Daphnia pulex: one gene and its partner. The protein of the gene in region 2 purifies or fractionates together with the protein of the main gene of each other region. This does not show direct contact. Links are inferred from orthologs where the notes say so. Each region holds a gene or a part of one and is shown on either strand. Other genes may lie near its edges.

Region 1 (4,024 bases), on a different chromosome or scaffold from region 2:
GTCCTGAATGTTTTACGTTTACATCTGGTCCTCCACGACGAGTCCCACCCAAGCCTCCACCCAAACGGCGAGGAAGCCAACCTGGAATGCAATAGTTTAGGTACTTAGAAACCATGGCGGCATGATTATAATATCTAACAAGAAGAAAAAAATTTTGTGCACTTATTTACACTGATTAATCAAAATAAAAAACCTATGGATTTTCAAAACAAATTTTAAAATTTGCCTTCGAAAAAAAGGGCAGCAAACTATAAACATAAAACTTATTTAATTAAAATAATTACCTTTGACAGTCCTTGCCCTTTCTACGTCTACAAGAACTCTGCGGCCGTCTATTTTCTTTCCGTCGGCGTGTTTGTACGCAGCTGGTATTTTAAAACAACAAACCAGTATTTCGGCGCCGTCGGCAAAACGAACAAATCGTAAATACGGGTAGTACAGCAGGCAGAGAAGACGAAAAATTCAGCGTGTATAACATGGAGAAGGAGAGTTCCAACAATTAGTATCACAAACCTAATATCACCTACCGAAGGATCTCCATTACCTACCCCTCCCAGCAATTTCGAAAAATATTTACCGTGAATTAACAAATAACGAAAAATGCAATGATTTCAAGTATGACCAATCATAACACTTGGAAAATGCATAAAAAACCAACGCCACGGCCGTTTACCAGATTACGGCTATGTTCACGTAACATCCAGATCTATTAATAAGCGATCAAATGTTGCCAATCACAGAAGCAGATCCATTCCCTCTTCAAGCTGTCCCCATCTTTACCTGTGAATCCTCTTAACGCGCAGCAGCACTCGAAGAATCTGATCGAATTGAAATGGCCCTAATTTTTAGTGGCGCTAGAAAGCCTAGTAACCGACTTACCAGGATACTTACTACCATCAAGGGGAAGGGAGGGTGAAAACGAAAAGATACTTTCTTTGAAGCTAATTTGAACCTGCAGTCGATTTCAAAGGGATTTTGGTTTAACTTTAACCAAACGAAACCTTACCAATTGACCATACAAACCTAGCATCAAGAGACAAAAAGCGACAAAGGCCACATGACCGTCCAAATAGTCGGAGGCCGCGACTGTGACCGGAAACGACAAAATGAAATATAGGAAAACTTTAAGGTACAAATCAATCACAGATTTTCCCCACCTCACCCCCACCCCTTTCATCATCATACAAATTGGTGGTGCGACGATTAATTGAACAGTGAAAGCTATCGCAGGCCTTACTAATTAGCCCACTACCCTCAGTTACCACACGACTTAGGTATAATAGAAAAGAAATACTTACAATGCATGTCTCGCTCATGTTCATACTCGATGAATGCATAACCGCGTGGCTTACTAGTCCTCTTGTCATGCACCAACACAATCTGTAACATTAAAAAGCGTGGTAAGCGTGTGATTAAATTTCACATGGTGCTTGTAAGTTACCTTCCGAACAACTCCGTACACTTCAAACTCCCTGCGCAATTTAGATTCCGAAGTATCAAAATTCTGAGAGAAAATGTTTCAAGAATTATCGTTTCATTCATGCGGATTACTAGTTATAACTTAGCACTCATTATTCATTAAGCTCGAAATAAAATAAAAGTGATGAGAAAAAAAAATTATAGTATGAGTATTGACACTTACAATGCGAGCAACGAACAGCGTTTTGAAGGGGTCCATGGTAGAAACACCATTACTGTGTGGATCCCCTATGAATGCCAGAGAAAAGGGAAATTGATAAAAGAAATTGTAGAAACACACCAAAAATTAGAACTTACACATTGCAATTTCCTGTTCAAGTTTATAGGCAACTTGTTCTGCCTTTTCGCGACGTTTTCTTTCGCGCCGTTCATCCCGTGTTTCTGCTCGCGTAGGAGGGGGTGTATCTTTAGGATCCTGTTAAGAATATAAAATGATATTAAAAATTTCGTTATGTTTGAAAGCTCAGTACTTAGTTCATCAGAATGCTTCTAGTATGCAATGTTTCGTTCCACATCTCTCATTTAAAACTTTGTGAAACAATGACTACTTTACACCCCTCAGACATATGCTAACATTAAATTGTCAACCTGATAAAAGGCTCAGCTGGAAACACTGTGCTTCCAGAAAATTAAGACACTTTCACAACATTTTCACAAAATATTTTGCATCTCACATGTCACACATGAAAACTTGGGATTCTCATCGACACATCTAGAGGAGAATGAATAAATGAACCAAAACTGTTCCATAAATTGGGATTGGGACCCGTGCATTAGTAAATTAAGACATACATTACTTCCCAAATCAATCAAATTAGATCAAATTGCAATACTTACCTTGACTACTATATCAATTTTTAATTTTTAATGGAATCAAATACTAACCTCAAACAGATTTGTATACTGCGCTATACCAATGTATGGCGTTCTTTTTTTTTCATGAGTCAATTTATCAGGTGGTGGTAAAAATGGAGGGGGATCGCGTGGCGCAAAAAGAGCCAAAAGATTTGGAGGCAAAAACTGCGTCATTTCACAAATATTTCAATGAGCATGGACCTTTCAAAAAGCTTCTCGGTCGAGCGTCTTAGCTGTCGGCCATTAGTCCATTACTGTCTATCTATTGCTCGGCAGGGCTGCCACTTTGGTCTTTGGTGGGATTTTCCCACTTTTGAAATTTTCAAGTTTTTAAAATTGAAAATACCCGTTTTAAAAAACGGGTATTGTGGGATGAGATGGGATTGAGATTTTAGGAAAAACAGCGGGATTTTGTAATTTCTAATTTATCTGACCAATTTCATAAATTTTTTTTGAGCCGTAAATAGGCTAGCAACAAAATATATATTTGGCAACTAGAAATAAAACTAAATTTAAAAAAGCAGACGAATCAATACCAGATCAGAATCAGACATATATAAAAGTAAATAGTCACTACAGTCAAAAACAGCGTTTTGGCCCCAACCAATTTGTATCAGTTTTTACTTTTTATATTGTTTTAAATATTATAATCGTAATACTAGACCCCCGGCCCTTTAGTTTGCTTGTTGCTTATTGCTTATTGGATTTTAATGGGTTTGGCGCTGATATTTTTCATTAAATTTCTTGAAAGTGGAGTCTAGTAAGTAGGTAGTAGGTAACTTATAACATTTAAATTAATGCTCTTTAAGGAAAAAAAACTATAAATACTACATAAAAATAGACATAATTAGGTTTCAAATGAGACTAAGGGGGAATTTCTACGTGCATTTTTGACAAGGTTTAATATATGGTAAACATATTTTATACGGTAAGATTTATTTCATTACTGCATCTCAAAAGATTCAAGTTGTACAGCATCTTTCAATTACATCCAAGTCCCAAATATTGGTAAATAAATAAATTAGTTCCTTTCTTTCTTACAAAGCCTTTTCGGCCTTTTCTTAAATACATTGCTGATGCGGTTAAGTTCGGTTAATGTTATTGTGGTTTTCAAAAATCAGCTTGGATTTCAACTTCTACTTGCAGACAAACCAAAACAAAGTAAAAAAAAACTGTTCGATATTATTTGGCCTCTTGATGGCGTAGAATTCAATTATTGAATTAATTGAAATTAATGGTTTCTTAGGATTAGGAATGTCTTTAATCTTGATGTATTTATCGTCTGAAAGTTGAGACGGTGTCTCTAGCTCTCTACTTTAAGACCATAACAAAATTTTACTTTAGTTAGCTAAATTTTTTGCGCCAAAAAACTCATACTGTTTCGTCCTTCATGCTTAACTCAGCTTAAGGATAGGCCTTTTTATCGTTAGCACATGCAAAAAAATAAACAAACAAAACGCGGCAAAGTCTGATACACACGACATGATTCTGAATCGAGTTTCCATCATCACGTGACCGCAAGCACTCCGCCGGTCCGCCCACAAAAATAAACCCAAAAATGGAACCATACAATCTGTGAACATGTTTCCATAGTTCTACTAAGGCAGATTGCCCGAGATACCTAGATGGGAAAACCTCCTAAACTGAATAATTTGGATATATTATCCACAATTCCGCTACACCAAAACGC
Region 2 (7,917 bases):
AGAGCCACAAGGCCATTTGCTCTTGCCCCAAGGGCCACACTGGACATCCATTCGACCGCTGCCGACCCTTCGACAAGAGTAAGAACAACGTAATCAAATCTCCCAAGGATCTTTTGCTAAAAAATACCCACCCGATATTTCTAGGCGATCTTTGTAACCCGAATCCTTGCGGCACCGATGCCGACTGCAAACCAGGCACGGACCGTCAAGGAAACGACAGGCCAGTTTGCTTCTGCCGCACCGGATATCTGGGAGATCCCCTCGTCGGTTGCCGAAAGGGCCAATGTATCGACCATGCCGTAAGGAAATCCGCTAAAATATTTTAAGAGAATGTTAGGACTAATTTTTAAAATGTGCCCAGGATTGTTCTGGCAATCAAGCTTGTTACGGTTACCAATGCGTTGATCCATGCACCAGCACTTCTTCATCCAGATCTTCCGTTTGCGGAATCGGAGCACGATGCGACGCACGAAACCACGGAGCCGTATGCTCATGTCCCGTCGGCCAGGACGGTGATCCTCTGGTTGAATGCCGTGCTTCCTTCAGGGGTTAAACAAAAGTTATTGCAAATTTTAGAAAAGAAAAACACACACACAAAAAAAAATCTTCCTTCTTCTTTCTCTGTCCCCACACATCCGGAGTTCTCTAGAACAGAATAAAAAAAAAAAAATTTACGAAGATGAAAAGTGAAACAATAAAGCAAACTCAGCAAACGCCTAGACGATGTTTTTCATCTCTCACGCTGTAAAAAAAAAGAATCGCTTTATTACTTGTCCAATTTTTCTTTACCTTTTGGCAGACCGGGAAGGGTGGGGCAACACGCCTTTTGTTTTAGGACAAAAACAACGGAAACTAATCGTAAGACAGATGTTGTTTTTTTTACTCCTTGTGTTTTTTTTATTCGGCTTTGTACCTAATTTAACGTGTCTCAAAACTGCTTATTTCCTGCGAATGGCATGATATTATACCTTTAATATTATACCTGAATGATTAACTCTGGCCTTTTTAAATACAACAAGAAAATTCGTTTTCTAAAATAAAATTTGTTTTTGATGATGTTGTATACTTATTATATCCGTGGCTGTATTCGTAGTAGAGACTCCAAACACAATCAAATGTTGATTCATATTATAAGGCAGATTTAAAGAACGAATTCTTTGGCACTGAAAGAATTTTAAAATTGAACAAATTTAAGGCACCACATGAATGGAAGTGATTGGTCAACTGGATTTCATATAAAAAAAGAGAAAACGTAGCTAACAGGTGAATACACCTAAAATTAATTAAAGAGATTGCCGTTGAGATAAAATGTTAGGAGACAATTAACAAGAAGCTGTCATGAAAAACCTGAAAAGTCATGTGCTATGGGGGATTTCATTGTCGCCGATGTTGTCGGTGGAAATGACTGCCAAGTCAGTACCGATAGGGATAACTGCCGGACCAGTGGCTTCTAAAATTTCGCCCTCGTCGAACTGGAAATTGTCCTCTATAAACTGAAGTAGGGCTTTCTCTCCTTGATCACGCTCGTAGTAGTTGACCGCTTCGGTTCTTGGAACGAACATGCCTTCGTGCACGTTTCCCAGCGTCATGTAATAGATCTTGTTTTCATTCATAGTCTCGTCATTAGGGAAAAATAGGAGATAGGAGGCAGCGGCCTGGCAAGCCTTTTCGATGTTGCCCACTGCAAGAAAACGAATGTTTTGATTTCTTATTTGTGATTGATTAAGAGAAACGTCTTACTTTTGAAATAGGCAAACTGCAAGTAATGGTAGTGACTGGGAAGGAGATCGTCATGTTTCTCGCCATTCAAGTTTCCCAGTTTGTTAGCACACTTTCGCTTACAGCGCAATGTGAAAGTGTAGTGATCTAAACAAATAATCAATCTCCATATTTATAGGTACCACTGAAACCTGCTTTGATGTTGTATAAACATACTTGAGATGCTGGAAATGAAATCAGGAAACCAGCCTTGATCAAAGGGACCCTCACAATGAGCTCTGCATTCTTCTTCTGCTTGCAAGTATTCTACCAAGGAAAGCTCCATGTTGGTTGTAGTTCTGTCATAGTCCTTCTTTTTGTAGGATTCACTGCCACGAATGTAGAATTCAACATAGGGTTTAGCTTCAAGGTTGATGACATAGTTGGGATCCACTTTCAATTCATTGATGAAAAATCTAAGATTTTCTTTCATCACAGTATGGTTTAAATTCATAGTTAAGAAAGTGTAGGCACAGGAAGCTGCCTTGATATTATCGTTGGTCTGAAATAATCCAAACACAAAAGTTTAAGTAAATAATAAAGAAAATGTGATGTAGGATACTAACCTTGAAGTAGCAAAGCTGAAGATAGTCATAAGGTTTCAAAGTGTCAAAATCATCTGTTTAAAATGTAAAAATTTTTAAAAACAGAAAACATATTTGATGAAGATAAGACTGTCTAACCTGCAACTTTACGGTCAACAATTTCTGCACGGTTCTTCAAAATATCTTTCTTGCATTTCAGTAAGCAAAGTGTCTTCTTTATCATCTTTTCCCATAATTTCATATCTTCCAACTGTGGAGACACCAACGGTTTGTCAAAAGATTCCTTGAGACATTCCAATCGACAGCCCACCACAGCATCTTTGTAAAAATGATAATCTTCAATGGCTTCGTTCATACGCGTGACGCACTCATCCCATTGCTCATTTAGATATGCTTCTACTGCCTGGCTGTAAAGAATATCGTACGAATTGGCAGGATCAGCTTTTGTAGCAGAGCAAAAGTAAACCAAGAGGGACAAAAAACAAGCTTTAAACAACATATTCTTACAATATATAATAAGGCTTGACAAAATAAAATAACATGGGCAGACTATGGAGCTATGGAGCAAGGGGAGGTTATCTTTGTGACTGCTCCACGTTAACAGTCAAGATGCCCTATGCAAAGAAGAGGGGTACATATATGCGTGAGAAAACATCTGTTAAAAACCTTAAACAAATTCTCGTGTTTCAATGTTTTGACTTAAAAGCAACATTGCCAATTATGAATAACGCAATCATGAAATTAATTAATCTTGAATTCTTTCAAATTTGAATTATATTTTTCAATTGCTGGTGGTTTTTTAACCGTGAATCGTGAGATGACAGGTAAGTGCAATAATTTAAATTTTTAAGTAAATAGAGCTGACAAATTAAAGTGATGTAGATGTCGCTTGCGTCTGAGCAAATAGTGGCGCAGAACCGCAGACGACAACTTAAACTTCAAAACAAACAACTGAAATCATTTGTGAAATTCCAGGCATGGATGAGTTCCTCCATAAAGCGCTTTACGTCGAGGAAACAGACGAGGATATCGATTTTGAGTCTGCGCCCAGTACAGGCCAAGAATACTTGAGAAGAGTTATGTAAGTCATGAAAACTTGTGTGTTAATAAATTGTATCACTATAAATTCATGCTGCCGGTTTATTTGGATAGAGTCGAATCGCGAAAATGCGAAGCGGTTGTAGTTGCCGATATGAAAGGAAAGAAGCTCAAAGCCCAAACTGTCAAATACACTACGGTAAGTTTCATTTTATTCAAATTTATTGATCTAGTCTGTCATTTCTGTGTAAATTCAGGACTCTGGCTGCCCACCTGCACCAGAAGTTTTCCTACCTTCAAAAGAATGGCAACAATTCCAAGTCTCTCAGTTTTCCTGCCTCAGGAGCCGCATGGCAAAACACTTGGCCAGGCTGAAAAAACAAGGAATTCAAATGAAACCGAATACAACCCTGGTAAGATCTTTGCTGTTGCAATGGCTTCCAGATAAATGAGTTTGGTCTTAATTATCCCTTCCAATTGTAGCCTGCTGGAGACAAAGAAAAGGAATGGTCAGTGTTGTGCTATGGTAACCCTGAGGATGAAAAGCCTTGTGGAACACCACCTATGCTCCCCATCATTTTATCCCTCAACCAGGTATATGAAAGTCACCTACTTCTCAGCATTCACACTATTATTTCTGTTGATGCAGTTTATGGTGGAGACTCTACTAGAGTACAACGTACAATGGCTGGAGGAGACGAATTTTACTCAGCAAAGGGGTCAGTGGCTCTACGCTCTACTTGCCAAATTGGAGAAACCTTTGAAACCCGAAATGTGTAGCCTCATCAGAACACTGGCACGTTTGTGTAGCACATTCCGAGTTCAATTAACCTCGGTCGACGACCCGCTGTTGGCCCAGCTCAATCTTTTCATATGTCTAGTCGGTCGTTACTTTGATCAAAGTGATTTAGCCGATCCGATGAAATGATTTAAACGCGAACAACGAACATTTCTGGTAACACATTTCCCGCATTGTATTTTTATTTTATTTTTCTTTTGCTCGCCATTTTGTAAGAAATAAAAAATGACTGATGGTAAATATAGTAAAGATCGTGGGTGAATAAGAACATGCATGTGGCTGATGGTATTACATTTAACACTTTTTTTGTTTTTTATTCGGGAGGGATAGGAAGAGGAGCTGAGTTGCATTCGTTTTTTTTTTCTCCCCCATTTTTCAGTGATGGCAAAAGTGGTGGGTGAAAATAAGAAGATTATAGCAGTTACATGTATAATAGCTGGAGGAAGAAAGAATTGAAGGGAAGGTCGGACAGAGATTTTAGAATTAGAATTTGCGTGTGTTTCTTCACAATTCCATTGATTCAACAGTATATAGAGATACGTTAGAAAAATTTGAACTTTCCCATCGATTGAACGAACCAACACAGGAAGGAAACGAAAAAGTGTAAGGAGAGGCGATGCCAATATATTTCTTATATATATTGTTTCTTTTTTATTCATTTTTTTGTTTTTTGTTTTGTTTTATTTACTGCATCCAATCTCCTCCGTTGTGTTCTCCTTCAGCAGATGAAACTGTCGCAAAAATTCAATATTATATCATGAAACATTTTTTCTTCTTTTTTAAATATTGAAAGTGTGAATGTGACATCTGGGATCGACGGCGGAGGAGAAACTCGACAAAGTAAAAACGGATCCGACAAAAAGGAAAAAAACAAAAAAACACGATGAAAAAAAGGGGGGATATAAGGATATGGCCAAATATACTTTGGATGGAGGGTAGAGGGGAGCATTGATTTTATGTGGGAGGGCAGACACTGGGGACAAGAGGTAGCAGCAGCAATAGCATAGATGGGCGGGCGTGGTGGTGAGGGCTGGTAAATAAAGAAAAAGAAATTTTCACGTCTTTTTTTCTTTTCTTCTTCTCATGTGAACGACACGCAGCAGTATATAAATGATGATGTTAAGACACAAACACACACACACACTCACATGTACAAATATATTTATTATTATATTTAAAATGAAATTTAAAACTCAAGTGAATTTATTTTCTTTTTAGTTTTTTTTTTATTTTGTGTGTATTTTTATTGCTTTTGACAGCCCGGAGTGTGTGTGTGTGTGTTGATGTATGTGTGTGTGTGATTAAATCTCTCCCTCATCTCTTATTATTACAACTTTTTTTTTTGCTCAATCATAAAAAAAGATCAAGCGGAAGAGCCGACCGTCTTTGATTATCTCCATGGAAGAATTTGTCCCGTCTAGTTAGAAAACCAAATTTCCCCCAAAAATCTTTCCTTATTTTGCATTCCTTCTTTCTTTACTTTCGTCTCTCAAAATGTCAAACATGGCGGTCGAGGGAGAACGTCGATCAAACACAGGCAAGTAGACATGTATATAGTGCACGTAAAGTACTGAAACAGTATAGTTATATAGTATAGAATAGTTAGAAATAGTAATCATCGTAGAATGATTGAAAAAACAAAAAAAAAAACGAAAAAATAAATGCCATAACACAAATCATTTATGACGAAGAAACCAACCAAATAAGAAAGAAGAGAGAAAAAAAAATCTTTAGGTGTGTCTGTGGTGGTGGTGGTGGTGGGGTAATTCAATCGAGAAATGTATCATTTGACAACCGATATATAAAAGAAAAGAGGGAAGAAGATACAAGTTTCAGCGGTATAGCACGGACACACATTAAGATAATAAATCAAATCATTATATATCAATAACACACACAACACCCCAGAGAAGGGGAAGAGAGAGAGAGATGTAATGTTGCGTGTAGGATTCTTTTTTTCTTTCTCAACTGGGGGATGGAGGATAGTAGACAACAGCAATGAAAGAAATAGAGAGAAAAGGAAAAAATTCGACAACACGAAGGGCGCAATATAATAACCGTATTTCGTTGTTTATGATTAATGACCGTGTGTGAATGCGTGTCTTGCATGGTAGGGTGTGTGTGTGTAGGTGTGTGCCTTTTTTTATTCGATAGTTATAAATTTTTGTTTTGTTTTCTTAAAATTTCGCGTGTTAGCTGCAATAATCCATCCACTCTTTTTTTTAAATTCATTTCGTAGTCGCTTCGATTACCCTACACACACACACACACACACAGAAACTCGGTGTCTTTTTCTTTTGCATAAGGCACAGGGCTCTAAGTAATCTAGAACCAAAAAAAAACATAACAAAAAATATGTTATCGTTTTTTTCTTAAGGGGGGAATTGTGTTGTTGTAGTCTATCCAATAATTTGATGAGGTTATTTGGGTAGATTTTAGTTTTCCCGTTCAAACACAGACGTGGGGGGGAAGAGAAAAAGAGACAATGAAGAGAAATTTCCCAACAAATCCAAATATATAGAATTAGAGGCAGTGAAAGAAAAAGAAATATATAAAAAAACATACACGAATTAAGGGCAGCAGCAATTTCAGCGAAAAATTAGGGCAGTCATTTTGTTTGTGGGGGTCGATGGGCTCAATATGTTTTGTTTGTTTTCTTTTAGTTTTGTTTCTCTCCAACACTGGAATATTTTTCCATTATTTTTCACATTTTTAATTCGCAGTGTAGAATTATTCAAAAGAAAAAAAAACCATCGAGAAATGCATCAAGGAAAAAAAATGTGGATATGGCGGCGGATTTGTCTCATTTGAATTTCCCCCCTCGAAAAAATTAAATTTCTCCAAATGTTATGCATTTAAATGGCTGCAGTCTGCTCCAATTTTAGCCAAAAAACGGGGTCAACAAAAGAATTGAGGAGACATAACATATCTCTTTGAGGATTAATAACCAAAAATAAAATGGAAAAAAATTATTGACATCCATCGCAATTCCGCACTAAAAATTGATGAAGAAACGGCGTATCACAAATCGTCCAAATATTACTTTTCTCTTGCATAATTCCATTTTTTTTAGAACCTTCCATTTAACAAAAAAAAAAATTCGATTTTTCTTTCTTCTTTGATAACTTCCAGCTTATGAATGAAAAACGCCGCGAATTAGGGAACTCAAAACTGCCATTTGCACTTTGCGTCACACTTCATATTCCGCCGGATACGTTTTGTTCTCTTCACTTGCGCATAAACATCAACACACTTTTTCTTATAACACACAAAAAAAAACAATTCACTGCGTAATTGATGAATGAATCACAATTAAATTAAAAAAAACAGAAAAAAAGTAACAACAAAAAAAAAATGTTATGGCAAAAAAAAAATTTTGAAAAACAAAAAAAAATTTTTTTTTCTTCTCAACTGTTCAATTGTTTTTCATTTTCCCCAATTTTTATATGTTTTCCTCGATTTATTTTTTAAAGTTTTCTTCATTTCACTGAAGCGCACAGCACGATTGACTTTCGGATTTGAGCCGTCTGTTATTAGTAGGAGTTGTAGTAGTAGCAGGTGTGGTGGCGTTAGTGGTCTTATCGTCACTCCTGGACATGTTGTGCACTGCCCGGTGTAAGAGAAGAACACGGCGCCACGAACTGCCTCGCTTCTTCTTCTTATTCTTCTTGGTTCCCGTCTCTTCGCATTGTGCTGGCGTCAACTTCTTGTTCTTGTTCTTCTTCTTCGATGGCGACAGCAACGAGCTGCTGCTGTTACTCAGACTGCACTGCTGGA

Evidence for each region.
Region 1: the proteins of gem-associated protein 2-like (region 2) and U1 small nuclear ribonucleoprotein 70 kDa-like purify together in Homo sapiens (affinity purification with mass spectrometry; 5 studies listed by BioGRID and IntAct, counting the BioPlex papers as one, with this or other methods). This does not show direct contact. The link is inferred for Daphnia pulex from reciprocal best matches to the Homo sapiens genes GEMIN2 and SNRNP70.

What each region holds. Positions count from the first base shown.
Region 1 is NC_060026.1:6,141,064-6,145,087, forward strand, and holds the start of U1 small nuclear ribonucleoprotein 70 kDa-like, read right to left. Parts: upstream 2,801-4,024; 5' UTR 2,509-2,800; coding exon 2,365-2,508; intron 1,895-2,364; coding exon 1,777-1,894; intron 1,708-1,776; coding exon 1,643-1,707; intron 1,505-1,642; coding exon 1,442-1,504; intron 1,381-1,441; coding exon 1,299-1,380; intron 366-1,298; coding exon 285-365; intron 82-284; coding exon 1-81. UniProt on the Homo sapiens protein: Component of the spliceosomal U1 snRNP, which is essential for recognition of the pre-mRNA 5' splice-site and the subsequent assembly of the spliceosome. SNRNP70 binds to the loop I region of U1-snRNA.
Region 2 is NC_060025.1:2,085,233-2,093,149, forward strand, and holds gem-associated protein 2-like, read left to right. Parts: upstream 1-3,204; 5' UTR 3,205-3,280; coding exon 3,281-3,384; intron 3,385-3,455; coding exon 3,456-3,540; intron 3,541-3,598; coding exon 3,599-3,754; intron 3,755-3,824; coding exon 3,825-3,935; intron 3,936-3,990; coding exon 3,991-4,269; 3' UTR 4,270-4,408; downstream 4,409-7,917. Other genes in the region: neurogenic locus notch homolog protein 3-like, read left to right, coding at 1-78, 145-299, 362-553; endoplasmic reticulum protein SC65-like, read right to left, coding at 1,356-1,681, 1,741-1,866, 1,936-2,260, 2,325-2,377, 2,442-2,802; uncharacterized protein LOC124201851, read right to left, coding at 7,625-7,917. UniProt on the Homo sapiens protein: The SMN complex catalyzes the assembly of small nuclear ribonucleoproteins (snRNPs), the building blocks of the spliceosome, and thereby plays an important role in the splicing of cellular pre-mRNAs.